2 linked regions of the Mus musculus genome follow. The protein of the gene in region 2 purifies or fractionates together with the protein of the main gene of each other region. This does not show direct contact. Links are inferred from orthologs where the notes say so. Each region holds a gene or a part of one and is shown on either strand. Other genes may lie near its edges.

What was found.
Region 1: the proteins of Hspbp1 (region 2) and Edrf1 purify together in Homo sapiens (affinity purification with mass spectrometry; 3 studies listed by BioGRID and IntAct, counting the BioPlex papers as one, with this or other methods). This does not show direct contact. The link is inferred for Mus musculus from reciprocal best matches to the Homo sapiens genes HSPBP1 and EDRF1.

The regions. Positions count from the first base shown.
Region 1 is NC_000073.6:133,629,724-133,644,895, reverse strand, and holds the start of Edrf1 (erythroid differentiation-related factor 1), read right to left. Parts: upstream 7,222-15,172; 5' UTR 7,084-7,221; coding exon 6,973-7,083; intron 5,990-6,972; coding exon 5,781-5,989; intron 4,217-5,780; coding exon 4,150-4,216; intron 3,603-4,149; coding exon 3,477-3,602; intron 1,249-3,476; coding exon 1,124-1,248; intron 904-1,123; coding exon 747-903; intron 1-746. UniProt on the Homo sapiens protein: Transcription factor involved in erythroid differentiation. Involved in transcriptional activation of the globin gene.
Region 2 is NC_000073.6:4,677,089-4,692,216, forward strand, and holds the start of Hspbp1 (hsp70-binding protein 1), read right to left. Parts: upstream 7,894-15,128; 5' UTR 7,806-7,893; intron 7,482-7,805; exon of another isoform or gene 7,479-7,481; 5' UTR 7,388-7,478; coding exon 7,184-7,387; intron 4,961-7,183; coding exon 4,756-4,960; intron 844-4,755; coding exon 619-843; intron 1-618. UniProt on the Homo sapiens protein: Inhibits HSPA1A chaperone activity by changing the conformation of the ATP-binding domain of HSPA1A and interfering with ATP binding. Interferes with ubiquitination mediated by STUB1 and inhibits chaperone-assisted degradation of immature CFTR.

The sequences.
Region 1 (15,172 bases), about 130 Mb from region 2:
CGCTAGCTCCAGGAGACTGAATACTCTTTTGTGGCCTCAGTAGGCACCAGACATGCACACGGTACTACTCAGAGATGCAGGCAGGCAAACACCCATATTCATAAAATAAACATAAATAAAATAGACAACAGTCTATTCTTTCGTCACATAGACTTAGAGGGATGGCTAAGCAGTCAAGAACACTTTCCTGCTACTCTAGAGGACCCTGGTTCAATTCCCAGAACCCCACATGGGAACTCACAACTGCCTGGAACTCTAGTTTCAGGAGATCTATCATATCAGACATGCATTTGGCACATAGATCTGTGCATGCAGGCAAAATACCCATATATATAAAATAAAAATATTTAAAAATCTTTATATGATAATGTGGGGCCAAATCCATTTTCCAGGAGGAACATCATCCAATTTAGGCCAAACAACCTAAATTATAGGCACACCTATCACTCAATGCATGACAGGTACTTAGTACATATCTAGAGTTAAAAATACACTTTACATTCAGTCGTACTCAATTTTAAGAGAAAAAAAAAATCAGTTGACTACTTTAAAATATTTTGTGTTATTTAATCTAACCCTGATTCATGTTAACTGCTGGATATTCTACTGTGGAAAGCTAAATGCATTTTTGTTTCTAACCCTGAGATGAGGCTGAGTGAATACCCCTCACCCTTCTTCATCACCTGCTTAGTTCAGCTCTGCTCTCCTGAGTGAGTTCACAGAATCAGATCCAAGGACTGACAAACCTGACTGGAAGCACTGGGATCCTCAGACACGGAAGAGGGCATTTCAAAGGGAGCAGGCCAGGCGGCCCCTTCAGACTCATGTGTCTGCTGAGAACTCGATGACTCTTCTTGTTCTGCAGGAGACGGGACAGGCTGCGCAGCTCCATCACCATTGATGCTAGTCAACCGGAAATAGAGAGGAAAACGTGACACATCATACTACAGCCTACCTGTCTGTATAAAACAGACTCTATAATCAAGCATGCATCTTGTCTATAAGAAACATAGTTAGTGTTAACAAAGCAAAACTTCAACTGCAAATTTTACCCTATTCAAACTGTAAATTTTAGGACAGAATCTGATTTTTCCTAAGACAAAGATAAACAGTAGTCAAATACCTGTAGTACAAGAACTTGGAAAGAATAGCCTTCTGATACCAGTGCTCCTTGCTTTTCTTCTTCCTCTGCCACTTCTGATCGATCAGTCTTTGATAGAACTCTTTCAACCATGTCCAATCACCAGTCTGAATAACGAGACATTACCGAACAAATATGCACACGTGTGATGAATACTGGACACTGTGTTGAAAGCTCAGCCCACAGCCAATGGTGTTTCTAAGATACCGAGGAACCTCTAGAAGGCAGAGCTTAGAGGAAGGAAGCTAGGTCTCTGGAGGTGTGGCCTTGAAAGGATCCTGCACTCCTGGCCCCTTCTCTCTCTCTTTACTTTTCGGTCATCATGAGGGAAGCAGAGTCTCACCCTGGCTCTAAGGAGTTGTGCTGTGACAGGGTGACAGGATGGAGCTTCTGCACCCACCCAGAACAACACTCACGTCCCTCCTGCTCTTCTGCTGGATGTTTCCTCTCTGTGACAAGCAAGACACCGATTCTCACTCACCCAATGCTCTCAGCTAAAAGCAGATATTCTTTAGTTTCTACAGATTGTTTCATGAGCATGCACTTATAGGAAGAACAATAGAAAGAACACTTTGATTTTTCTGCACCCAATTCACATCTAAGAATCTCCTACGTTTCTCTTCTAGCTAGGCCTGGAGAGGAAATCCTTTCCTACAGTACCTTCTCAGCTGCCCGAGGAAGGCCCCGCTTTACACTTTAATCAAAGTACCTATGTGTGTCTCAACAACCACACTGAACTAAGGAGCAAGGGCTGTGACTTGTTCACTGTCACCCTAAGATCTGACCAAGTACAGGACACACAAGCTGCACTGTGTTGCTTTCTAAAGAAACTATATTATCAAATTAATTTCTTGTAACTTATTTTTTGTTATCCAAGCATTGGAGAAGTTAGGACTGGTAGGCAGGTCTGTCATCGCAGCTACCTGGAGACTGAAGCAGGTGAATTACAAGTTTAAGACCTGGGTGAACTACAATGTGAGTTAGAGGCCAGCCTGGGCAATTAGCAAGACCCTGTCTGGGGAAAGAGGTGTTCATGGGTACAGTTCAGTGACAGAACACTTATCTATCATGCATGAAGATAGGTTCAAGCAAAAATAGCACTGTGTAGGAATATTTAAAAGGTAGTACAGACAGGCAGAACCATCAAGTACTTGTCAGCAGCCCAGGAAGGCAAGCATCAAGTAGGCCTAGAGAAGTCACAACTGTCCTTATCACCTGGGGGAAAGCATCTACGGACCAGCAGCCTGAGAAGCTAGAAATCAACTCGTATAATTAGTTATACTCATAGGAACAGCTCTTTAACGTTGTTTACGTTTCGGCCAGCCATGTTTCCAGAGTATGTCTATAATAGACATTAAAAGAATTTTCAAAAACAATTAGTTCCTTTAATCTCACAGATTTACCAATCCTTTCTTTTAAAAACTGACTTCATCCTTTTAAAGACAGAATCCTGGTTTTACATTCAGCTTAAAAAAAAAATGGGTTTGGAGAGATGGCTCAATGGTTTAGAGCACTGACTGATCTTCCAGAGGACCTGGGTTTGGTTCCCAGTACCCAAGTGGTAGCTCACAAATATCTGTATGATCCAGCACCCTCTTCTGGCCTCCCTAGTTATTAGGCATGCCATGTGGTTCACAGATGTGTCCATCATGCACCTAAAAATTATACGAAGTTTCTTCTCTGTTCTTTTCTCTCCCCCCTCACCCCCCTTTAAAGACTCTCTATATAGGCCCAGCTGTCCTAGAACTCTACATACAGCAGACTGGCCTTGAACTCGAGATTCACTCTTGCTTCTGTCTCCTCAGCCTGAGGTTGGTTGCATTCCACCAACCATGACCAGATGCTTTGTCTTTAACAAAGCTTTTCTCTATTTTTAAGTCTCTGATCAAACAGCTCATTTCTTTATTGCTGAAGTACTCAGCTACAATTCCAATTTGGCATTAAAAAAAAACTGTTTTAAGTATGAATATGTACATATGCGTGTGTTTGATGCTCAGGCGTGCAGGTCTGTTTTGGATGTCAGATGAGGTTGTCAGGTGTCCTGCTCTATCACCATCTATCTCGCTGTACCCCAAGGTTGTTTTTTGTCATTCCTGATCCGGTTCCTGCCAAGCTAGCAAGCCCTAGCCATCCTATCTCCAGCTCCCCACAGTAATGGGGCTCCAGGCCTGCATGACTATGCTCTGCTTTTTAGACAAGGTCTGGGAATCTGACTCAGGTCCTTGTGCTTGCCCAGCAAGTGCTCTTAGCCCGACTCTGGCATTTCCTTAAAACAAAACCACACTTTCATATTAAGAGAGTGCTTTTCTAAATGATTTTTGCATGAAGTAGTTACCTGAGATGACCTCATAAAGAGTTCTTGAATGTCCAGCTCATCTAGTAAGAGGGTCCTTCCTATGCGGTGCACAGCCATGCTCACGTGGGACTTGCTGTAGGGAATCTTCAGGAGCTTTTTTATGTTCTTAAGAGAGTTAGAGAGGCCCCATTAGTATCACCCAGAATTTATGGAGTTTAACTTCATTCAATCTGAAGTTTAATAAGCCTTATTTAAGGTTACACAAACTAGACTTTTCGTAATAATAATCATATAGAGGGCAGAGCTTTAAACTCTGAGTTACACTGTCAATGTAAGTGCAGCCCAACACTATTACATATTCTATTACAGTACAATTCCTTTTTATAGGGATGGAGGACAACAGCTACTAGTATACCATTTTAAATTCTCAAATGGTAATAGACACAGAATAACTCTAAACATATTCAATTATTACTGTTAAAATACAACCAACAGTATTCATATTTTTTATTAGTCCCACTGTTTTGGAATTGTATCCTCCTCTTAGAGGAGATAAAAAGCATTTTTAAAGCAAACATAGGTATTGAATAATTACATAACTTTGTCTTATTCCATTGCTGATAGCAAGACTGTAAAGCATAACACGTTTTAACATCCTCCTCCCCTCCCCTGCGGCACTGCATATCCCCAAAGTCACCGTGAAAACACTCACTTCTGAGTCGGAGACGACATCCACATCATTTCCCACCGAGTCAATGAAGTCATACGCCATGCCGAAACTACGGAAGGAAGGAAGGAAGAGGCCACAGATGGAAGGCTGAACAGAGTAAAACTGTCTACTGCTTCTAGGACATGCACACCTCACATTTGGAAATCAAGAAGTCCACTGCCATCTGGCTGCCAACTTCTCATTTCTTCTTAGGTACACAGAAAATGAAGCACATCTTTAAAATGCATCTTCAACTTAGTGAGACAGTAAGAACTGCAAAAAGCAGTCAGTGTGAGCATAAACCCTTAACCTCTCTGATGCAAAACAGTTCAAGATTTAATTCCACATATGAAGAAAAACAAAATGAGAAAAATATGTTAACATGTATGGATATAACATATAAAGATATAACATCAATAAAAGAAAAAAAATTGTACCTAAAATCAACTCAGCTTAAAGAGAAAATGAAAAACTGGTAAGCACCTAACTCATTCAAATCACCAAGTTCATCTATAAGGTTGCAAAGCAACGGATGTCACCATTTTCCCCTTAGTAGGTGGCAGAGTCAGGACATTTAATCAGGACTGCATATGCATGTATGATTTTCTATCTGCTCTGGGCAAGTAGGTTAGCCTTCATTTCTCATGTACAAACAGTTAATAGTGTCTATCTTAGGGCTGGAGAGATGGCTCAATGGCTAAGAGCACTGACTGCTCTTCCAAAGATCCTGAGTTCAATTCCCAGCAACCACATGATAGCTCACAACCATCTGTAATGAGATCTGATGCCCTCTTCTGGTGTATCTGAAGACAGCTACAGTGTACTTATATATAATACATAAATAAATATTAAAAAAGAAAAAAATCTAGCACAACTACTGAAACCAACTCACCACATTTAATACAATTAAGCCATTTTTAAAATAGTCGAAATATGTGGTCATTTTCAGACTTTTCACAGTATCAAAAATGCTACATCAACTTGTAAGCAAAGCTATTACCTTTTGAGGCACTAGGATAATCTCTAAACTACTAGCTCAGGGTATTAATGCATTTGTGGCTCTTTCTGTGTTATATAAAGTTTTATATAAGTTATATAAAAATGTTTTAAGTCCAATCATTCAGGGGAGGAAAAAGAAAACACGGTTAAAACAGCCTACAAGAATATAGACACAGCATAAGACTCCCAAATACTCACAACTTTAAAAACCACCAGTAGAATTTCCAGTGTGGGTCAAGGGTGTAGGTTACCCAGCATTTGGGGTTTTAAACCTCAGGCTTTTCCAAATACTCCATCATATTTAATAAACACTCCAAAGGGCAAGCCGAGCAGCAGCTTAAGTCTTGCCCCTCGCATACCATCCTATTTGCACATATGAAAGCAGACACAACAGGCTAAAACAGCTGATGAGCAGTCAACGTGTACACGTTATCGTGACATGCTGCAGCCTGGAAGAAAGCATGTACCTCTGAAATCTTCTTACTGTACCATGGACTTTGGATGACAACTATATTCTTTTACTAAAAATATCTGAGCAAGTGAACATGCATCTCCAATTGAACTGCGAAGCAGCTTTCAGAGCTTCGAGCCGGGGTTGAGAGGGAGGGAAAGAAATGCCAGCGATTAAAATTTACCTTGAAAACGGCTTGCTTTTCTTACTATTGCCAAGAATGGTGGTTCCTGCTGGCCCTAGTTTGGCACTCTCTCGTAACCAGTTGGCAGGTGGGAGTTTCAAGTCTGTTTTTTCTTCGAGACGTGCAAACGCTGTTCGAGGAGGGGCAGAAGAGTATTTTACCACAGCTCTGCTTTTCACTTCGTTGCCTCCAAGAAATAAGGCCGATCCCTAAATAACATATGGAATGAAGCTTTAATGAACACTGCCAGGAACGACAATCTCACTTTCATAAAAATGAATTAAGAACCCACCAAATCAGGATTCACAAGGAGCCTCAGCTGCGTGTCAGCTCTAACACTTAATAAACAAGCTTAAATTACGCTTACTTAGCTGTTTTTCACGAAACTAAAAAAAAAAAAAAAAAAAAAAAGGATCAATCAAGAAGTGGACAGGGGCCAACCAACCTGCTTTTTAAAAATCTGGGCATAGTAGTTGCAAACACAAGCTTCAAGCACTCTGGAGGCAGAGGCACAAGGGCCAGTGCAAGGTCTACGTCCAGCTTGACTGCCCGGTCTGCATAACCAGTTCCACACCAGCCAAGACTCAACCCGGTACGATGAGTCACAGAAAAATGTAGACTCAGAAACTAAGTGCGCTCAACTGTGTCCTGTCAACCGCATGTAAAACGAGCAAGACTTCTGTACGGTTCTAATGGAATATTTTTAAGTAGCATAAGTCAATGACAAACGTCATTTGCAGGACGTGTTTATTTTTACCAAACACACAGCGATTGATCGGTAAGCTCATCGCATCCCATTCTACATTAGCTCCGTAGCTGACCCTACACCCACCCGGGCATGCTCAATGTCTGGACCCGCTGTTCGACTCTCCTTCGAGAACCCTTCCAGGCGTTGCAAATTCTCTGTGCCCTCCCTGGGTCCGTCCCTCTCTCCTCTGCCTGCCTTCGGCGGGCTGTGACACACACACACTCTATAGCCCGTCCACTGGCGCCGAGTGCGAAGCCAGGGGTGTTGCGCATTGCAAGCAAACGCCTGCCTGCACACCCGACGACAGGCTCGCCTGGTGATTCATTCCGTACTAGAGGTGCTAAGGAGGCGTGGAAGAAAGTTCCAGAAGCCCCACGTCCCCCTCCCAGGCCCGCAAACCCCCCAAGCCCCTGCAGGTCGCGCTCCGCCGCCGCCGCCTCTCACCTGTGCAGAAGGCTCCTCGGAGTCCGCCTGGGACAGGAGGCTGAGCCCTCCTCGGGCGGCCGCCCCTGAAGGAGAAGCCTCGGCTCCTGCTTCCTTGGGGTCCCCCATCATTTCCGACCCTGGGGAGGCGACCAGACGCGCGAGCCCTGGAGGCGGCGACAGGAACGCGGGCCCAGAGTCGCAGGAGAACCTCAGAGCGAGCGACTCGGACACTCAGCGGCTCGCACTTCCGGCGGCTGCCAGGAAGAGCTCGAGGTAGCGCGATGAAATCTCGCGAGATTCACCCAAAGGTCCAGCCCGTCCTCCGGCTCTGGCTCCTCCTTCGCGGTCCGGGCAGGAGCTGCCGCACGCCGTTGCCTGTCACACCATTAGGGCGGACACTTCTCGCGATACACGCCTCCCGGGCTCCTCCCCCTCGCTCGTGGCCGGTCTTTGTTGGCAAACAGTTAATGAGACTTGAGTCAAAGTCGCGGTGGCTGGGGTGGGGCGGTGCCGCCTTGGGTATTCGCGTAATCAAAGCTGGTGGCATCAAGGCCCTCGCAGGCGGCCGCTCTCTTGGGGCTTCTCCGAGTTGCACACGCGCGGGGACCTCCGTGGGTCTCAGCACCCTCAGATCAGTGGGGCTGAAGCAAGGAGAGAGAAGCCATCAGTCTGTTTAATCGGTTTCTAGGCAGCGCTCATGCAGCCCTGGCTGGTTTCGAACTCGCAAAATAGCCGAGAGTGACCTTGAACTTGACACTCTGCCTCCAGCTCCCGAGGGCTGGGGTTTCTTTCTGCCCGAGGATGGAACCCAGGGCTTCGTGTAGGCTAGGCAAGCACTCGGAGCTACATTTCCACCCTGCACCCAATAACAGACAAACTGCTACATTCCTCATAAAACATATATATTTGAGGTAAAAGGTTTTGTTTTATGTCGAGGTATTACGTTTTGGGTTTTTTTTTTTTTTTTTTTTTTTTTTAAATGTGTTTTGAGTGCTTTGGCTGCGTGTGTGCATGCAGTGCCCGCAGAAACCAGAAGAGGGCATCAGATCTCCTGGAACGGGAGTTACACGCAGTTGGGAGTTGTGGGCTGTGGGTGCTAAGCTGTGTCCTCTGCAAGAGCAGAAAGTGCTCCTAATGGCTGAGCCAGGACGGAGGTATACGTTTTCAGTTTTCAGTGTTTTGGCCTTTGCAATTATTTAGCCATGCCAGGTTATAATTTTCCTTAGTCTCTAAAAACCCAGTAACTGAAAAACTTTAGGAGTTCTCGGAGAAAGCAGATGCAGTCTGCAAATTGCTTTCATGCAAAACAAGACATTTTTATGAATTAACTTTTTGGTGCATATTTTGCAGATCCTTACTTTAAAGCATGTTTTGTGATTTTTTTTTAAACTACTCTGTATTTAGAGCCAGTTTTTGTTTGTTTGTTTGTTTGTTTGTTTTGTCCTTTTCGTTGTTTATTACATCAGAGGCTAGCAGGCTCGTCACATAAAAGCTTGTGCCAAACAAAACTGAGGGCCCGAGTTCCATGTCATCCCTGGACCCCACTGTAGAAGGAGAGAACTGACTCTGGAAAGCTCCCCTCTGGCCGTCACATGTCCTGTGGCATGAACACACACACAATAATAATACAGAGATCTGAATAAGACCTATGTAGCTAACACAAAAAGATTAAACTTTGAGTACTTAAAAATAAACCCTGTATATCCATTAACTCACGTTACAGGAATATTTTTTTTTACAGGAATATTTTTAAAAATTAAATTGCACATCATAGTATGTTAAATGATAAGCAAATATTTAAAAAGTAATATGGTCCCAATTTGAAAATCCATCTGTTTCTGAAATGGAAATCTCTGGTTGTTTTTGTGTCTCTAAATGAACAGATTCATGTAAGAAAGAAATGATTTACATTTAGTCTAACATTTTTCTATTTTTCTTTCTTGTTTCATATTTAATTTTATTAACACTTCTACAAATATAAGTTAGGTTCTGATAACCTTACAGTTTTGTCATTTATTAATAACGATGTATCAGTAAGAATTTACTGAGGTAGTATAGTAGTGGGTTTTTTTTTCTTCGGGACTCAAATATTGTACAAATTTCTTGAGATGCTAACATGTGGATCCTTTTTAATGATGCTTAGTAGGAAAATGTGCTACTAGTACCCTACAAAAAGGAGAAATGAAGGAAGCAGAAGTGAGAGCTCGGTATACAGAACAGGAGTCTGACAACACCAAGGGGCTCATGAGAGCTCAGGGCTCCGGCAAGCCAATCAAGCTCCCTCCCCCCTCCCCCCTCCCCCCCCCCCCCCCCCCCCGCCGCCCCCAGACTTATGGAGGAAGGTCTGGCCAGGGGCTGGGTTTCAAGAAGCCACACACAGGCAGGGACTAATTTAGTTGGGAGAGGAGAGTGATCCCTGAGGCCTGGAGAAACCAGGCACATCTGGGTTACATAAAGTTTATACATTCCTCCAGCTCTAAGAGCCTTTCCCCCATAATCAAACACATGCTGTAGGCTTCTAAAAGTTATCATCACTGCCTCTAATGTAAGTGATTGAAATCCAGTGTTGTGAGGAAACAGATCACTCCTCCCATCATTCAAACGTTAGGACAAGAACAGCTGCCAGAATTTGCCTAACATACGTCTCCTTGGGATGGTCTCTGTCACACATGCCTCCCTGGACAGTCGCATTGGCTTTGAGCTCTCGTGTTTCCCGTCTCAGTGCCTCATGGCCTCTTTGCTTAGGATACACATGTGGAGTGGATGACTAACTTACTGTGTGCCACCACAGCTCTAAGTTGCTGGTGCTTTTCTTGTGCTTAGGATTCCTTCTCTGAGTTCCCTAGCTTACTCCTGCGCATCTTGTAGATTCCGCTCAGGTCACTCTAATAAGTCCTTTCTGATACACCCCACGTTTTCTTCACACACATCCTTGGTCCCTTATACTTGTACAGCTTTATCCTGTGTTTGTCACACACGAGAAAACAACGTTTGAATCTGCCTCCCTTGCCGCCTTTGGACTCAAAGGCCTTCGTTCTGTCTGATCAGCCTTTTCACCAGCAGCAGGCTCTGCACCTGCAAACCGAGCTGTTTAAGCCCTTAGGCAATGTAGGGGAAATTGACTGGTACTGTCAATTTTAAAGTGCTTTCAAAATGTTGGAAACACAAAAAACAATGTAGTTCACTCAAAAATATTTTAATACTCAAAATCCAGGCTAAAAATGTCTTATAAAGTAGCTCAATGTAGTGTAGCACCGGTGTCATCAATTATTGAAGTTAATATTGATGCACGGTTTGTGCCGTTCTGAAACGGTTTGTAAGCTAGAGCTTCGTAGTTTGCAAAATTTCCCTCACCATGCATGAGTCTCTCAGGGAAATGCTAGTCAGTAATAGACTGATTTCGTTACCAGGTGGTGACACATACTTTTAATTCTAGCACTCTGGAAGCAGAGGCAGGCAGACCTCTGATATGTAGTGATTTCTGGGTTGGCCAGAGATACACAGTGAGACCATTATTTTAAAAATATGCATCTAGTTATTTGTAGCATGTAATATTTTTATATTGTTTTGGAAAAAAATGTATCCTCAAATGTATTCCATTAAACACTATGTTTCCTTTTTTTAGATTTATTTTTTTATGTGTGTTAGTGTTTTATCCGTATGTATGTTATGTGCACCATGTGCATGCCTGGTGCTCTCAGAGGACAGAAGTGGGTGTCACATCCCCTGGAACTGGACTTACAGATGGCTGTGGGCAGTCATGTGGGTGCTGGGAATTGAACCTAAGTCTATCTTAGGAGCAACAAGTGCTCCTAACCACTGAGCCACCTCTCCAGACTCCCATTGAACACGAGACACTATTCAGATAGTATAATAAGTTGCTACTCACTGGTTTTTTTAAAATATTTATTTATTTATTTTATATATTTGAGTACACTGTCGCTATCTCCAGGCACACCAGAAGTGGGCATCAGATCCTATTACAGATGGTTGTGAGCCACCATGTGGTTGCTGGAAATTGAACTCAGAACCTCTGGAAGAACAGTCAGTGCTCCTAACCACTGAGGCATCTCTCCAGCCCTCCAGAAAAGTATTGTAGCAAAGACAACACTAAATTATTTTAGAAGTAAACTTTTTGGCTTTTCATTGTCTTTATTTTTTTAAAAAGACTGGTAGTTTATTCATTTATTTTGGAAGTTAACCTTTTATCCTGATACCTGCTGCTATTTCAAGGCTCACATCCCAGGACAGTCACCCTCAGTCCTCATTGCTGTTGTTATGCCCCAGCTTCAGCACGGCCTAGGGAGGCTTCTCAGGACTGCTTTCCCTCTGCCCTCTTTCCTTCAGTCTGAGGCTCCAGGCTCTTGAGGTTCTCTGTGGTTCTCTCAGTCTCCTCATTAGTGCCCCATCATCAAAATAGGCCCTGCTCTGTGGTAACCCTGTGGATCCTAGATCCCTTCAAATCAAAGGTGCATTGCCGAGATGTCTCGGTGCCTGCAGGGTGCTCTCATAATTGGAAGAATTACCGAGAGCTGACTCATGCTTGTCCAATACTTTTTTGAAACAGAGTTAGAAATCCTCTATAAAACCTTGATAGAAAGAGAACTGTGTGAGGGCTGAGAGCAGTTGTGGGTGCTGCTGAGTCTAATGGGGGAATCCAGTGCCCTTGGAGTTGCTGTGCAACTAGCGGAGGATGCTGGCCTTGGAGACTGTTAACCCTTGGTAGTGTTTTGGAATGTGGGTCTCGCTTACCTTGGGTCTTACACGTAGCCAACCCCACTCTCTGCTTGCTGAACACGGGAAGCCCTGAGCTTCTGACTCATGATTGTGCTCAGAGCTGGAAGTTGGATTTGAGATGATCAGGACCCACCTCTTCCTTCTTTAAAGAGAGTGGCGTGATCCAGAAAGACAAACAGAATTGCATCACTGAGAGATGTGCAGTCTTCACGAGAAGCAAAGCTGGACAAGTGCTCAGGTCTACTACTCAGGTGTAAACTACTAATGTAGGCCAGTAGAGTTTCATTGTTTTTTGTTCTTTCTTAGGGTTTCCTTACACAGCCTATGCCGGCCTGGAACTCAATCCTCTTGGGTCAGCCTTTCCAGTGCTGGGCCACTGTGCCCAGCTAGAACCTCAGTTTGTTTCATAATAGCTGGCTTAAACAGCAGACTATCAAGCCACCATCAGTTTTGAAATCAATATCTCTGGGTTAGCCCAAGAACTCTACATTTTTAATCAGACTGCTAATCCTAGAACACATTGGCCTATAAACCACAATTTAGGACAGTGACCTCCAGAGGCAGTTCCCGGGATTGCAGGAAGAACCACAGCATCCTACAAAAAGAAATACTACTAAATGTGTACCCTTGCTCGGGCCCTGGTCAGTGGCATACCAGGCAGAGACTCCATATGCAATGAAAGTAGTGCTTATTGCATGTGAGGGTTGGTTGCTAGGCAACAAATAGGCCAGTAAGTCAAAACAAAATTTCAGATGAACACTGAAAACATTTGTAGAGTGAGAATATACCAAATATTTATTGTAAATATACCCAGTGCTGCATTTGAGTTCCATGAGTCCATGTCATCTGTATCCAGGACCCAGGCTGCTAGTCCTTAAGCCTTTGGTCAGTGACAAGCACTCCCGCCATTTGCTTTGTTTTAACAACAACAACAAAGATCACATGACCAACTGTTGCATTAGTGAGGTAGGGGAGAACAAGGCTTCCCCCCAAGGCAGGACACTGGTTGTCAGTGACCACTACACAGCACTGTCACAAAGTGAAGTCTGTTGGATGGCACTAGCAAGGTTAAACTCAATGACAAAACCAGGCTTTTTAGAGATCTTCTTTGCTGGTGTGCAATGGGGAAAGAATGACCTTGAAGCAGCTCCTATTACACACAAAGGTCACAGGTCCTCAGTGACAAACCACCAATAAGAGTTGTCAAGCTTGAGAGTGAGTTATTATTTTTTTTGTCAGTGTTCCACGTGGTGACAAGTAGGTTCATTAGGAAGCTACTTGGAGAAAGTTTCCCCAACAGACTTCATCTGTCCATTCAAGATAGAAGTGACGCTCGAGCAATGATTGGTTTTCAAAAGAATTTCAGCCTACTGAGGGAGCTTTTCTGCAGATAGACATTTGGAAATCTTTACAACGTTCGATGAGTATGTTACTCAAGATAAGTCCATGGCTTATTATTTATTCAGGGCTTTGCTATGCGAGTGTGAGGACCTGAGTTCAGAGACACAGAGCCCACACAAAAGCCAGGTGGCTGAGCTGCTCTGCGTAAGAAGAAGGAATGGAATCCTTTGAGTGAGCTGCCTACTGAGGCTAAGCAAAATGCCAAGCTCCCAGTACAGCGAGAGACCCTGAGCCAATGTGCAAGGTAAAGAGCAATCAAGGGAGACACATGATTGCCAGCCTTGGACATCCACGTGTACGCACACATATGTGCACATGTACATGCACACATACAGCCACACATATGTGAACAGGCACATTTCACACACACTTGTATAAGAAAAAAGAAAAGAAAGGAAAAAAAGGGAATAAAAGATGAAGACAAACAAGAGTTCAAATTGCATCCTTAGTGACAGTGGGTGCTCTCAGCACACAGCAGCTCTGGCTTAGGTAGACTGCATGCTAAGGGGAGAGGATCCACATGGTCAAGGGGGCAGCCTGGCTGTAGATCCTTTGTCATACTGGCAGTGTTGGGGGGGAAAATCTATTCATACTTTAATGTGTCCTTTGATACTACTAGTGGACCAACTCAGGTCACCTAGTTAATCTCCTTGTCAGCTGTCAACCCACCTGTTTACCTCATATCTGCTTGCAAGACTCTCTTCAGAGCCAGCCAGCCAGCCAGCCAGCAGGTCTTCCCCCCTCCTGTGACTCATCCTGGTTTTAAGTTTGTTCTATGACAACAGTCTGGCAGCCTTTCTTCTGGATGTATGACAAAACAAGTTGTATGGGGAAACAGGCGACTAACTTAGTCCTCAGTCCCGTGTGACTGATCCATGAGAAGGACTACTGGCTTCTAAAGGATATGGATACGTAGGCAGCCAAGCCTCAGTTTAAAGCCTCGTGTGGTTTGTGGCTCCAACAGAACGTTCAGACTAATACAGTAAGGCCCAAGGCCAACGAATTCTTTTAAGGAGCTCTAAGTATCCTTTAAGATGGATTAAAAGGAGCAGCCATCTAAAATCATTTAAAAATAAACAACTGGGCCTGGAGAGATGGGTCACCTGGTGTGGGAACTTGAGGACCTAGGTTCTGGTCTCAGTACCTCCGTAGAAAGTCAGGCTAGGCATGTGCTCAACTGGAGCCAGAGTGTTGTGGAGAACAAAGACAGCAGGATCAAGGCTTGCTGACCACCAAGCTAGCTCAGGATTTGATGAAAGACCTTGTCTCAAAGGAATAAGGCAGAAAATGACAGAACAGGGCACCCAACATTCTCCTGTGTCCCCTGCATGCATGCAAAGACTCACAGACTCATGCGCACAGACATGCATATAATGTGGTCAGCACACACGTCACACGTGTTTAATGATGTGTGATTTTAAAAGTTTATAAGCTAGTGCTTTTATCTATTTATTTTATTTTATTTAGATCATTTATTTGATTTGTTTGGGATAGTCAAGACATGGTCTCATGTAGCCCAAGCTGGCCTTACACTTTCTGGATAGACAAGGGTTACCTTGAATTCCTGCCCCTCCCCCTGCATCTGCCTGCCATGTACTGGATTTATAGGCATGCATCATCATGCCTGGCTTTAGGAAGACTATTTTAGATGCAATTAAATGCTATCTTTAAGTCAAGAACAATTAGCAAGTTAATGAGGTATACTTTGCTTCACACTTTAATTTGACGAGAGTAGACAATTTTGAAGCACAATAAAAGATTGGATGCACAATTCACTGATATAATGGCAAGATGGCTTTGGTCACAACTGCCTGATGCCTTATTTATGAAATGATAATTATTTAATTTCTATTCTAAAATTAATAACATTTAAGCAGAGCATTTGGAAACCTCCTCCCCCTAGCCCTCACACTGGAAGGGATTTGTTTTCTAGACATCCATGAACTTGGATTTTTTTGGCAAGCTCTCCGCATGGGCTTTCAGAATACAGACAAGTGTTTGTAAGGGCAAGCTGTGTCCACTAACTCTCTCTCTCTCTCTTTCTGTCTCTGCCCCCACCTCTCTCTCTCTTTCTCTCTCT
Region 2 (15,128 bases):
TCTCCGAGGGACTACCCTGTCTGGAGAAGTGCTGCTTGGTTGTTTTGAGGGTTTGGGGGTTTGGTTTTTTTGTTTTTGGTTTGTTGTTGTTGTTGTTGTTGTTTTTGGTTTTTTGAGACAGGGTTTCTCTGTGTAGCCCTGGCTGTCCTGGAACTCACTCTGTAGACCAGGCTGGCCTCGAACTCAGAAATCTGCCTGCCTCTGCCTCCTGAGTGCTGGGATTAAAGGCTTGCGTCACCACTGCTTGGCTAAGTTATAACTGGTCAATGCTCCTATGTCTTCAGTTGGTGGAGACCACAAACACAGCTCAGTATCCTACAGTATATAGGATGATCCCCAAGGCAGAAAATGAACTGACCCCAAACGTGGACAAGGACTCTGATAGGTATGAGAAGCTCTAGCTGGAACACAAGGTCATCTATCAGCACCATCAGGGCCTAATTAGTATCTGGCTCTGACGTCACTACTCTGGCTCCTGCACCACACAGAGCCCCAACAGGAATACAAATCAAAAGTAAAGGAAGCACCCCAACCTTTCCTCCCCTGTAGATCAGCAAACCCCACCCTTGCGGTCAGCACTGGCCCCAGGCCCTCCCCCTGAAATCCGGGAACACTCACAGGAGATGGCGAAGAGAGCCTTGACTCGTACCGTGTCGCAGGAGTCCCGGTCGAGCAGCCGAAGTAGCTTGCGCAGGGCACCCAAGCCCAACACCTGCTCCTGGATGGCTGCAACGTTCTGACTGCATGTGCCGATGAGTTGTGCTGCCCTCCAGCGCAGCCCTGCAGCCCCTGCCTCCAGGTATCGACCCACCAGCAGATGCATGCCTGACAGCTGGCAGAAATCTATGGACAGGAGAGGAGAGAAAACTGTCAAAGCCCCCAATTCACAGGCTGACCGCTTACTCCTTAGAATTTAGAGACAAGGTTTGAAACAGGGTATTCATTTAGAGACAGGGTATGAGAAGAAAGGCTGATGAAAAGATTTGGAAGTGAGTCAGGTCTGTAGCTAAGGCTCAGTTGGTAGAGTGCCTGCATAGCCTTCATAAAGTCCTGGGTTTGGGTCTTAGCACCACATACAATAGGCATAGTGGTACACTCAGCACTAAGAAGGAGGCAGTAAGATCCTAAATTCAAGGTCATCCTCAGCTACGTAGAAGTATTATGCCTTCCTGGTTTACATAAGACACTGTCACAGCCGGGCGGTGGTGGTGGTGCACGCCTTTAATCCCAGCACTTGGGAGGCAGAGGCAGGCGGATTTCTGAGTTCAAGGCCAGCAGCCTGGTCTACAAAGTGAGTTCCAGGACAGCCAGGGCTATACAGAGAAACCCTGTCTCGAAAAACAAAAGCAAAACAAAACAAGACACTGTCACAAAACAAGAGATTGGGAGGAACTGGGGGTACATGCCTATTACCCCAGCTACCTAGAAAGCCAAGACAGAGCAGGGTATACTAGTGCACTCCTAGCACTTGGGAAGAAGAGGCCAGTGGATCTCTGTGTGTTTGACTCCACCAGACTGATTTATTATATTATATATATATATATATATATATATATATATACATACTGACTGATTTATTATATTATATATATATATACTTACTGACTGATTTATTATATTATATATTATATATATACTTAAATTCCAGCACAGACAGACCTGCATAGTGAGATTCTGCCTAGAAAAACAAAAAAAAAACAAAAAAAACAAAACGCTGAGACAGGAGGATTAAAAGTTCTGCGTGGACTTCAGGAGTTCAAGGTTAGACTCAGCATCTTTCTGAGACCCTGCCTCAAAGCACGAAATGCAAAGAGGGCTAGCAATCTAGCTCAGTCGAGTAGGCTTGCCATACTCAACAAGTTCTGAAACCTGGAGGTAATACTGCAAAATACTGTAATGTCCTGAATGCTGCCCAGTGCTGGCACAGCCTGTAATTCCACCTCTTAGAAGGTATAAACAGAAGGACAGTCACAAATTCAGCGTCAGCTAGGATGTTATAGACTGTCTGGGCAGTAGTGGTGCACGACTTTACTCCTGGCACTCAGAGGAGGCAGGCAGGATCTCTGAATTCCAGGACAGCCAGAGCTACACAGAGAAACCCTGTCTCATAAAACCTCCCTCCCAAAAATAGTAAAACAAAACAAGAAAATTAAATAAATAAAAGAGATGGATGCTACAGAATTATATACTCAAAATGGTTACTTCTGTTGTGACTTTTTAACATTTACATATTTATTTATATTTATTAGTGGTGTGTGTGTGTGTGCGTGTGTGTGTGTGTGTAGGCATACACATGTTATGTACGATTTTAAAGGTCAAGGTTCTGGGAGGTGTTTCTCTCTTCCCATCATGTGAGTTTCTAACAAACTCAGGTCACTGGGTGGCAACACTTTTTCCCACTGAACCCTCTCACTGGCCCATTTTGTGATTTTTTTTTTTTTTTTACCTTGATAAATAAAAGTAAAGTTTAGAAACTCGGCCTGGGGGTTGGCGAGATGGCTCAGGGGTTAAGAGCACTGACTGCTCTTCCGAAGGCTCTGAGTTCAAATCCCAGCAACCACATGGTGGCTCACAACCACCTGTAATGAGATCTGACGCCCTCTTCTGGAGTATCTGAGGACAGCTACAGTGTACTTACATATAATAAATAATAAATAAATTAAAAAAAAAAAAAAAAAAAAGAAACTCGGCCTGGTGACACACACCTGAAATTCCAGCACCGGGGGAGAGGAGAAAAGAAGATTAGGAGTTCAAAGCCAACCCCAGGTACACAGCAAGCATGAGGGTAGCCTGGGCTGCCTGAGAATTTGTCTCAACAACAATAACAAAAAAAATGTGGGGCTTGAGGAATGGCTCAGAGATTAACAACACTTGCTGTTCTTGTAGAGGACCCATATTCGGTTACCAACTCCCACATGGGCAGACTGCAACTGCCTGTAACTCCAGTTCCAGGGGATTCAAAGTTCTTCTCTAGCCTTTGAGGTTACCAGATATGCATGTGGTGGTACACACAAATACATACATGCAGGCACTCACACATAAACATAAAACGTCTTTAATCCTAGCTCTCAGGAGGCAGAGGAGGGGGATCGCTGTGGGTTTAAGACCAGCCTAATATGTATACATAGTGAGTTCTAGGCCAGCAAGGGTAACACAGTGAGACCCTGTCTCAAAAAAGGGGGAAAAAAAGGGCTGGAGAGATGGCTCAGTGGTTAAGAGCACTGGCTACTCTTCCAGAGGACCTGAGTTCAATTCCCAACAACCACATGGTGGCTCACAACCATCTGTAATGGGATCCGATGCCCTCTTCTCGTGTGTCTGAAGACAGCTACAGTACACTCATATACATTAAATAAATACATACATACATAAAAAAGGGGGAAAAAGGGGGGGTGGTTATAGAAAGATGGTTCTGTGGTTAAGAGCACCAACTGCTCTTCCAGAGGTCCTAAGTTCAATTTCCAACAACCACACGGTGACTCGCAATCATCTGTTATGGGATCCAATGCTCTCTTCTTTAAGACAGCAACAGTGTACTCATATAAATAAATCTTTAAAAAAGAAGGAAAAAAAGCTGGTTGTGGTAGCAAATGTCTTTGATCCCCCTTTAATCCTAGTACATGAGACACAGAGGCAGGTAAAATACCTGTGAGTTTGAGACCATCCTGGACCACAGAGTTCCAAGCCAGCTAGGTCTACATAGTGAGATCTTGTCTCATTTAAAAATAAATAAATTATATATACATACATGCATACATACATATGAATGTGACCTACAGAATGCACCTTGACCATGGATACTTCAATGTCATTGCTTACCCTAGACCTACACGTGTCCGTCCCACTCCTTTGACAGGAGGATGTCTGTCTGTTCTGATCACAGTAGCACCATCCTACCTCAACGTTTGCACTAGCTATTCCTACTGCCTCGAATGCCTTTTGTAAAGCAGGAGTACCCCATGACATACCCTCACTCGGGTGATATACCCCATGACATACCCTCACTCAGGTGATATACCCCATGACATACCATCACTCAGGTGATATACCCCATGATATACCCTCACTCAGGTGATATACCCCATGACATACCCTCACTCAGGTGATATACCCCATGATATACCCTCACTCAGGTGATATACCCCATGACATACCCTCACTCAGGTGATATACCCCATGATATACCCGCACTCAGGTGATATACCCCATGACATACCCTCACTCAGGTGATATATCCCATGATATACCCTCACTCAGGTGATATACCCCATGACATACCCTCACTCAGGTGATATACCCCATGATATACCCTCACTCAGGTGATATACCCCATGACATACCCTCACTCAGGTGATATACCCCATGATATACCCGCACTCAGGTGATATACCCCATGACATACCCTCACTCAGGTGATATACCCCATGATATACCCTCACTCAGGTGATATACCCCATGAAATACCCTCACTCAGGTCTCTGATCAAACACTCTACTTCCAGGCGGCCTCAGATTACCACTCCATCCCAAACCACCTCCCTTCCCTTGAGAGAGTAGCAAGCAAATTAGGGAGTCAACATCAGTCCCAGGACTCCTCGGGAAGTAGCAGAACAAATCTGTCACCACAGGGACTTGGTGGGGTATGAGGAGGGCTTTGTTCCTGGGAGGAGCTGCTGGTTCAATACAGGAGAATTGGGAAAGGGCAGAGCCAGACAGCATGTGGGACAGCCTGGGGAGTACTGAGGGAGGAGGGTACCTGCTGCATTGTCCATGTTCTCGCACAGGTCTGCCAGCAGCTCTAGTGCGCCTTCACGCTCCTGCTGGTCAGTGGCCAGCTCAGCTTCGCCAGCCATTGCGGGTGTGGCCTGGGACAGGACCCGGAGGCAGTTCTTCATCTGCTCCACCTCCTCTCGCTGGCCCCGGAAGGCGGCCGACATGGCTTCCTGCAGCCATTGGCGTCTCTAGGGAAGAAGGGAGAAGGATGGGGGTAGAAGATGTCTCTCAGTGACTGCCCAGGGAGTGACACTAATAGGACAGCCAAATGCAAGGACTGATGGCTCTTTCCATCAACAAGTATCTAGGAGACATCTTGGGGGAAGCACAGGAGTCTCTCATTCTATAGTGCAGTCTGGCTTCCCGCTCACAGCAGCCTTCCTGCCTCAGACTCCCAAGTGCTGGGATTAACAAGCAAGAGCCACCACACTCAGATGTTTACACAGTTTTTACTCATAACTTCTTTTCTAGGTTCTAGGGAGTCAGTCCTGAGACAGACTGATTAGAGAAAAAAAAGTGTTGTTCAGGGTGTGTGCAAGACAAACACAGAGAGAAGCTAGAGGGAAAAAACAAACAAAACAAAACATGTAGTGTGACAGGAGATGGCAATATGACAAGTGCTATAGGGTAAGTAAGATTAAGCACAATGGAGGATCATGGGAGTGGAGGTTGGCCTGTAGAACTTAAACGGGGTCATCTTGGAGGGTCAGATGTCAGCAATGAAATAGGCCAGGGAATAGCCAAGCATATACTAGGAAGAATATTCAAGACAGAGGCAATCACCAGCAAGCCAAGGTGGCTGAAGCAAGGTTAAGTGAGGGAAGAAAAAAGTTGAGGAGAGAGAAACACCCCAGGAAAGGAGCAAGTTGGATCTTACAAACAGATGCAAAGGCCTAGATTCTGCTCTGAATGAAGTGGGTGGAGCTGGGAAGGGAGTTCTCCCGAGGAGAGGCAGAGAGGTGGACTGAGAAGCATAGGAGCAGGGAAAGAGCGCTTACTAGGATTCTAAGTAGTCCATGCAAGAGAAAAGTTTATGGAGCAGGTTTCGGTGGCACATGCTTATAATCCCAGCACGGGGTGGGATGGAGGCAGAAGCAAGTTCAAGAACAACCTCATCTGTGTATCAGTGTGAAATATGGCCAGATCCTGGACTCTGAAGAGAGAACCAACTGTTGAGCTAAGGGAGGAGGGGAGAAAGAGGAGTCAGGCTGATACAGGGGTTCTGTCCTCAGCAACAAGTCCCGCCCATTTCCCAAAAGATGTCAGGTTTGAGGATCAGCTATACAACCGGAGGCTGTGGTGAGCTGGATGGTTCTGTATTGTGACAAAAGTCCTGAGAACTACATGAGGTTTGAATAGTATCCCTGGTCTGCACTTGCTACCAAGTTGGAACAAGAAGGGCTCTCCAGCCATGCCAACTGTCGTCTGGAGAAATTAAAAAAAAAAAAAAAAAAGCCAGAAAAGATAGAGAATGAGGAGAACAAGAGATAACAAAAGAAAGGAGTCCAGAGGAAGACCAGAAACTACACTGTCCCCAAAAGGGCGCTTCAGGAGGACTGAAATGGCTACCATATATCTGTAAGTCCAAGACTTTGGAGGTGGGGCAGGAAGGTCAGGAGGGTAAGGTCATTAAGGCTAGCGTGGTCTGTTTGAGACCGCAATCTCAAAACAGGAAAGAAAAGGGGAAGAAGCTGTAAGGCTTTGAAATCACGCTCCTGGACAAATTTGGGCAAACTATCTCATTGCTCTATGCCTATTTCCACCTTGGCACAACATGACACAACATGTATAAATTATTCTGTAACTTAACTGAATTACTACAATATTCTATGTATCGTAAATGTCAATTAAAAAAAGTTACATGAAAAATTCCTATCAACCTTTAAGACAATTCTGTAAGGTTTTATTATAGCTATTCCAAATTCATTGATTAAAAAAAAAAAATCAGAGGCAAAGAAAGGATGTGAATTGCCCAACCAAGGTCATGGCTGGCAACTGGCAAAACCCAACTACGTTGTGTACGAGTCAGTATAGACTGGAACATCAGAATTGCCTGATAAGACACTATCATTACTATTATCACCATCAATTCAAAAATGAACGAACACTTGAGGATTCGAAAGATTAAATAATATACCCAAGGTCACACTTGTGGAGACAAAGCTGAATCTAGTTCTGCCTGGGTCTAGAGAACCCAGCTTGCTTTTAGACTTTTCACTCATCATGAGACTTCCCAATACAAGGCTGCGATCGGACACTTTACAGCTGACCTTCACCCTATCATGATGCCACATTTAGACTCTAGCTCACCACCCAGGAAGACAACAGCTTGTAGCTCACTAAGCCACTCTCCCCAAGACACTTAGATCCTCAGGACCCTCACCCAACCTTCTTAGGTCCTCATACTTTACCTCCTCGCTCATGGGTTCTGGAGGGGGGTCTGGCTCCTGAGAACCCGCAGTAATAGCCATCTGCAGCAGGCCTTGGAGGTTCCGTGGAGGCCGGGGGTTGCCTGAGCCCCCCGCCGAGGAACCACTGCCCCCTGACGAGCAACCCTGAGAGGCCGGAGGCAACGCAAGAGGGAGGCGACTGCCCCCTGAGCCTTTGTCTGCCATGGACTTTCTGTGAAGGAAGAATGTGTTTAAAGGAAATTGATGGTCACCGCTGAGGCAGCAATGGTGTCCGGATGGGTCGACTCTTGAAGGTCTGCTGAGAAGGTGGAGTTTTGAAGGTGTTAGGAGTCTTCTCATGATCCCAAACCATTCTGCCTGCAACCACCTTAACCATAGCCCCCTTTCCTTCCTTCATACTAACAGGACCCTTGCCCAAATCCAGATGTCCCTCCTTGCTCCCTAGCAACAGGCCCCACCTACTCCCTGGCAACGAGCCCCCCCAAGCTCCCCAGCTTGCGTCCTCGTCTCTTAGCAACCCCACTGCCCCGCCTCCATGGCAACAAGCCTTCGCTCAGTCTCCTTAGCAACAATTCTCCTCCCGTGTCTTTGAAGAGGGGCGCCCCAATGGGGCTGATCTCACCTTGCCGGGTCTAGAGCTGCCACCACGCCTAAAGATAGACTAGGCTGCACCTGACTCTACTGGGCGCCGCCATCTTTACCGGAAATACGCAGTTCTCACACGGAAGTGCCTCACCCCAAGCTGTTTGCCCAGTTCTAAGCAGCACCTCTTAGCGGATGCGGCACTTAGCTCCGCCTCTGTCGACTAGGCCCCCACCACTTTCTCTTTGTCACGCCCCTACATTTCGCGCTTTTGTTATAAGCCCCGCCCCCTAGCTCCTCTGTTTATCTTAGCAAACAAGGGACTTTCATGGCGAACTCCTCCCCTCCCAGGCATAGGCCCCGCCTATGCCCATATTCCCCGCCTCTTTTCTAGGCCTTTCGGCCTGTCCCAGTCAAGTCCCGCCTCTTAGTACCTGGAACTTCAGCTTGTCCTGTTCGGCCACGCCCCTGCGTAGGCCACGCCCCTTCTCTGCTGCTGCTGCTGCTGCTGCTGCTGCTGCTGCTGCTCAGACGGTTTTGTTCCTCACTCAACTGATTTTAACTGCATTTGCTCCTAGAGTCTCGGGATATCTCCCCTAATATCCCACCTTTGTAACCTGAGACTCGGGCTCACTTTTTTCTAGGCCTCAGTTTCCCCATTTATTACCGGTTTCAGTGTGGAATACTCTGTGTGAGTTGTGTGTCTTCATGTGACTATGCATGGTGTGTGGGAAGTCCCATGTCAACATCAGCTGTCTTCCACCTTCGATCTTCCAATCATTTTAAAAATATTTTTAGAGTTACTTATTTATTTATTTATTTATTTATTTATTTATTTATTGGGTTTTTCGAGACAGGGTTTCTCTGTGTAGTCCTGGCTGTCCTGAAACTCACTTTGTAGACCAGGCTGGCCTCGAACTCAGAAATCTGCCTGCCTCTGTCTCCCGAGTGCTGGGATTAAAGGTGTGGGCCACCACTGCCCGGCTAGATTTTATTTTTAAAGATTGTTTTTAATTATGTAGTAGGGGAGGAGGCAGATGCCTGTAAATGCAGGTTTCTATGGGGCCAGAGACAAAGGACAAACTAAAGCTGTAGTTACAGGCAGTTATGAGACAACCAATATATATATATATATGGGTGCTAGGAACCAAGCTCAGGCTCTTTGCAAGAACAGTAAGTACTCTTAATGACAAGCTATCTCTTCAGCCTCTTAAATTATTGTTGTTCTTTTAATTTTTTTGTAGACTTACCTATTTACTTGTGTACAAATAGTTTGTGGTTGGTTAGTTTTTGTTTTGTTTTTTGAGACAGTGTTTTACGGTATAGCCTTGGCTGTCCTGGAAGTTACTCTGTAGACCATGCTGTCCTCAAACTCACAGAGATCCACTTTCCTCTGCCACCTGAGTGCTGGGATTAAAGGCGTGTGCCACCACTGACCCTGAACATTTTGCCTGCATGTATGTGCGTGCACTGTATGCTTGCTTGATGGATTGCCAGGAACTGGAGTTACAGATGGTTGTGAGCCATCATAATTGGGTGCTAGGAGTTGAACCTGAGTCTTCAGCAAGAGCAATAAAGCAACAAGAGTTCCTAATCATTGAAATATCTCTCATTGAACTCTCTCTCCGTCCCACCCCACCCCTCTTTTGTTTTTTGTTTTGGAGATGGTTCCTTATTTTGGTGTTTTGTTTTGGGGAGGCTCTCAGTATGTAGCCTGGGCAGGCCTGCAGAACGATGTGAGCAGGTTGCCCTACAACTCATAAATATTCACACGCCTTAAAAGTAGGTACACTCAGGGATGGCGAGATGGCTCAGCGGGTAAGAGCACTGACTGCTCTTCCAGAGGTCCTGAGTTCAAATCCCAGCAACCACATGGTGGCTCACAACCACCCGTAATGAGATTTGACACCTTATTCTGGTGCGTCTGAAGACAGCTACAGTGTACATGTGTATAATAATAAATAAATATTTTTTAAAAGTATGCACACTCACCCTGCTCCGTTTTATTCATTTTTATTTTGTGTATGAGTATTTTACCTACTTGTGTATATATACACACCTTATGTACCTGCTTGGTGCCCTTGTGGGCCAGAAGATAAGGTTTGTTCCCTGTAACTCTTACTATTGCTGTTAACAAATATCTTGTTTTTAATTTTGTTTTGATATGGGTTTCTCTGTGTAACCCTGGCTGTCCTGGAACTCATTATGTAGACCAGGCTGGAATCAAACTCAGAGATCTACCTGTGTCTGCCTCCCAAGTGCTAGGATTAAAGGTATTTGCCACCATTGCCTGGCTTGATTTTTGTATTTAAAAAGAAATTATTTATTTTTATTAGTACTCTGTCTGCATATACATCTGCATGACAGAAGAGGGCATCAGATCTTGTTATAGATAGTAGTTGTGAGCCACCATGTGGTTGCTGGGAATTGAACTCTGGACCTCTCGAAGAGCAGTCAGTGCGGTTTGTTTGTTTGTTTGTTTGTTTTGTTGTTTGGGGGGTTTGTTTGTTTGTTCGACACAGGGTTTCTCTGTGTAACCCTGGCTGTCCTCTAGACCAGGCTGGCCTTGAACTCAGAAATCCGCCTGCCTCTGCCTCCCAAGTGCTGGGATTAAAAGCGTGCACCACCACTGTCTGGCTGCAGGCGATGCTCTTCACTGCTGAGCAATCTCACCTGATCCAGACTCTTTATGTATGTGTATATGTGTAGGCCAGAAGAGGGTTTTGTATTCCTTGGAGCTGGAGTTACCAGTAATTGAGAACTTCCTGACATGGGTTCTGGCAACAGAACTTGGGTCCTCTGAAAGAATAGAACTCAATTGCTAAGCCATCTCTCCAGCCTTACCTTTTATTTTTATCTATTTTTTATAGATAGGGTCTGTCACTGACCCTGGAGCTTGCCCGTTAGATTATGCCAGCTGGCTATTGAATCCCAGAGAATCTTCCTGTTTCCACTTCTCTATAACCATGTACTACTACACCTACCCTGTGGGTGCTGAGACTCAAACTCAGGTCCCTTATCATGTGCAACAAATATTTTACTAACTAAGTCATTTCCCTAACCCTATTCTCTAGGTTTTCTTGTTTTGTTTTGTTTTTGTTTTTCGAGACAGGGTTTCTCTCTACAGCCCTGGCTGTCCTGGAACTCACTCTGTAGACCAGGCTGGCCTCGAACTCAGAAATCTGCCTGTCTCTGCCTCCCGAGTGCTGGGATTAAAGGCGTGCGCCACCACGCCCGGCCTCTCTAGGTTTTTAAAAAGGATCTCTGTAGCCCAGGCTGGTCTTGAACTTGCTATATATCTGGTCTGATCTTGAATTCCTCTTCCTCTCGAATACTGTGATTACAGGTATATGCTATTATTAATAGGAGTCCTCTTACTCTAAAGAATCTCAGTAGAGATGGAAAAGCTATATGATCACATTCCGTATAGGTTATTACAAATGTATTTATCTCTATATATGTATCTATGTATCATACTGTAACTTTCATAATATGCAAGGAGCTTGCATCTAGGCTATCATCATGGTGTGTATGTGTTTAATATTTATATATACATATAAATATACTATGTACATTTATACTATGTGGTATCATATATCATTAGACATATATACATCATACATAGACACATATACATACATATACATATATGTGTTGTATATAATGTATATATATGTATGTATATGTACATACATACACACACACATACATTCTAGCTCTAATTCTCAGAACCTATAAATATATGACCTTATATGCCAGAAGAAATTTTGAAGATGAGATTCAGTTAAGGATTTTTTTTTTTTTTTTTTTTTGTGGAGGGGGCACAACAGGGTCTTACTATATAGCTTTGGTTGGCCTGGGACTTGCTAAACTCACAGAAGTTTGACCATATCTGCATGATGAGTGCTGAGTTTAAAGTATGTACTCTGCTCTCAGTTACAGATCTACAACATCCTGGTGTATCTTGATTCCAGCCTAGTCTATATAGTGAGTTCCAGGACAGCCATGGCTACACAGAAAAACCCTGTTTCCAAAAACAAACACCCAAGGTGGAGAGCTCATGAGGAAGGACACTAGAGGCTAGCCTTTGTCCTCTACAAACATTATGCGCTCGTGTGAACTCACATCTGCACACACACATACAAATAATAAATTACAGATGTGGGGAGAGTAACCAGACTACATTATAGACATGTGTGAAATTTTTTCAAAACTATGTATTTTTTTGTTTTGCTTTGTTTTGTTCGTTTTTTGAGACAGGGTTTTATTGTGTAGCCATGGCTGTCCCGGGGAGGAATTTTGTAGATTTAGCACCCTGCCATATCCTTACCATTCAGAACAGTGTATGGCTCAGATTTGATACTGAAATGAAGATGGCTTGATAGGCTTACCACTTCAGAGGAGCACCAATTTGCATTGGTGCACCCTGTGAGAAACTTGGGGATGGAATGGATGCCTAACAACTTAGGGTGCCTGCCATAAAGAAGGCTATGGCTTATATGGAAGCTTAATAGGAACCAGATTCCTCATGGCTGAGTGCAGACCTATGGTCCTCCCACGGAGGCACATGGATTATACTGAGGCCTACCTGAAGTTTACAGGACTTAACAAGCAAACATTACACATCCAGCCTGCACTGGGATCTATCTGCCTACCTATCAAGGTATAGGAGACATTAAAGCATGGTGGTATCGGACTGTTTTTAAACAATTTTAAAGGAGTTGGAAGAAATATGCATATGGATAACTGTCTGTGCATATGTGTACCACGTGTACTTTGATCCCCGGAAACCAGATGGAGTTACATACAGCCATGAACTACTGTATAGATGCTGAGAATGCAAATCCCCAGTCCCTGGGAAGCAGCCTACTCTTCCTAACTGCTGAATCATCTCTCCAGGACTGTAATTTCACACTTGAGAGACAGAAGCAGGAGGATCAGAAGTTCAAGGTCATCTTCAGCCACATAGTTTGAGGTCAGCTGGACTTTGTCTTAAAAAAAAAAAAAAACAAGAGCAGAACGTGGAGCCCTGATAACGGTGGGAACATAGAATTAGCCCAAGGAGTACACAGTGTTGACCTTAGAGGACATAGAGAAATAGATCACACTTAGGTCTCCAACTCCCCAAAGTCCTTCCCTTTTCTATCTTTGTCTCTTTTATCCTCTGCCACCACCACCACCCACACACACACTCCACAGTCTGTTCCCATCTAAGCCCAGCATCATTCCCTCCTGTGAATATATGGACCCTTGACAGTCCTTATTTCTCTTTGTCCCCCTCGCTCTACATCTTCCTTTGCATTTCTATCTCCTCATCCCTGTCTGTTGTTTGTCTCCTATCCCTGTCTGCCCCTTTCAGCTCTTTTTTGAGGGGGTGGGTTGAGGGGGCGTTCTCACGTAGTCTAGGCTGTCCTCAAACACACTTTATAGCTATAATGGCCTTGAACTCTTAATTCTCCCCGCTCCGTTATTACCTCCTTCACTCCTCCACCCTGTCTCTGATATTCTGCATCTTCCCATCTACTAATGTATGTCAGACTTCTCTTTGTGTCTTCATCTCTGCTTGTCTAATACTGGTTCTGTATCTCTCTCCATCCTTCCCTCCATCCTTTCAGGCATCCCTCTCTCCTGCAGCATCCTTCTCCTCCAGCATCCCTCCACCCATCCATACATCCCAGCATCTTCCCACCTCCTCCCCGTCCGTCCAGCTTCCAGGCCCGCCCCCTGCCACTCCCCCTCCCCCTCCGAAAGGGTTAACTGTGGGGAAGGGCCGGGAGTCCCCGGATGGTGATGTCAGCGTGCCGGAGAGAAAGGACGAGGTGGCGGGGGGAGGCGGAGAGGAGGAGGAGGCGGAGGAGAGAGGGCGCGTGGGGGGGCGGGGGGGATCTCGGCCTGCAGCATCCGCCGGCCCCACACTTCAGACCCCCCCTGCAGGGGGAGGCACAGGAAGGGGGGGGCCGGCCAGGGACGGGCTGGGGAGGGGGGGCCGCGCAGCCCCCCCCGCCATGCTGATTCCAGGGGCCTGACCCCCCCGGCAGCCCCCCCTCCCCCAGCTCTGCGGCCCACCGACTGGGGGGGCCAGCCCAGCCCCCTGGGGACCCCCGGAGAAGTGGGGAGCAACCGGGGGGGCCGGGACGGAGGTGTCGCCGGCCCCCACCGGAGGAACGGGGCGACGGGCCGCAGGGGGGGCGGCCGGGGGACCGGTCGGGCCGGGACCAAGGGCACCATGTCGTCCGGGTCCAAGGAAGGTGGCGGGGGCTCCCCCGCCTACCACCTCCCACACCCACACCCACACCCACCCCAGCACGCCCAATATGTGGGCCCCTATCGCCTGGAGAAGACGCTGGGCAAAGGACAGACAGGTGAGAACCTAAGCGGACACCTGGGGCGGGGGCGGGGTGCTGGAAGGGGCAGAGGGCGGGACCATGGATATTTAAAGGGCAGACCCCTGGGTCCCTCGTAGAAAAGGGGCTTGGGTCCTGAGTTCCAAGTGCCCACGGTGTACGGAGTAGAGTCTGACGTTGGGGCCTTGAGATGGCAGGGGTCTGAGACTTGTGGGTTCCAGGGAGAAGTAGGGGTCTGGACTACTGTGGCTCAAATAACCCTATTGGGGCAGATATTGGAGGGGCTTCAGGAAGCTGTGGGGAAGTAGGCCCATTACGGGTGTGGGACCTGGGCTGATTCTGCAAGCTGAGGCAGGCGGGTGCTGCAGTACAGCCGCAGGCAGGGTGGAGGTGCAGGCTGGGTGGAGGTGCATCCATCCCGAGAGAGGCTGCTATCCTGTCCCTCTTATGCTCAAAAGCGGTCACTTGCGCTCCGTGCAGCAAGCTGGAGCCCTAGGGTGTGAGGTCGACTACATTCTCTCCATTCTGCAGTGTGGAAATAGAATGGAGAGGTGGACTGTAGAAAGCTAAGCTCCCAGCCAGAAGTGGCCCTGGAAAGCAGAGTTATCTTTGATTGATGCTAAAGGCTGAGTGTGGCCACAACCATCTTCTTCTAGGCAGGGGATCGAGGTGAACTGAGGGATGACCTCCAGTGTTCTGGGCTGTGGGTTCTGGGTCCCTATGAAGTTGAGTTCCAGGCCTGAGATAGGAAAGGGAGGTCAGACCTTTATATCCTGGTAGTAAGAGTGTGACGTGCTGTTGACCTCAATTCTTGAACTTTGGAAGGAGAAGGGGCCATGTACCTGCACTGCTGGGCCTGAGGGACGAGGGCTGGGGCCAAGACTACTGGGTCTAAGGACGGAGGGGTAAGATCTGGGTTCCTGGGACTGAGAAGAGGCACCTTCCATAGCTGAGCTCTGGATCTGAGGAGTGGTCAGGGAATACGCATGCTTTCTGACCATGACAGCTTTTTTTTTTTT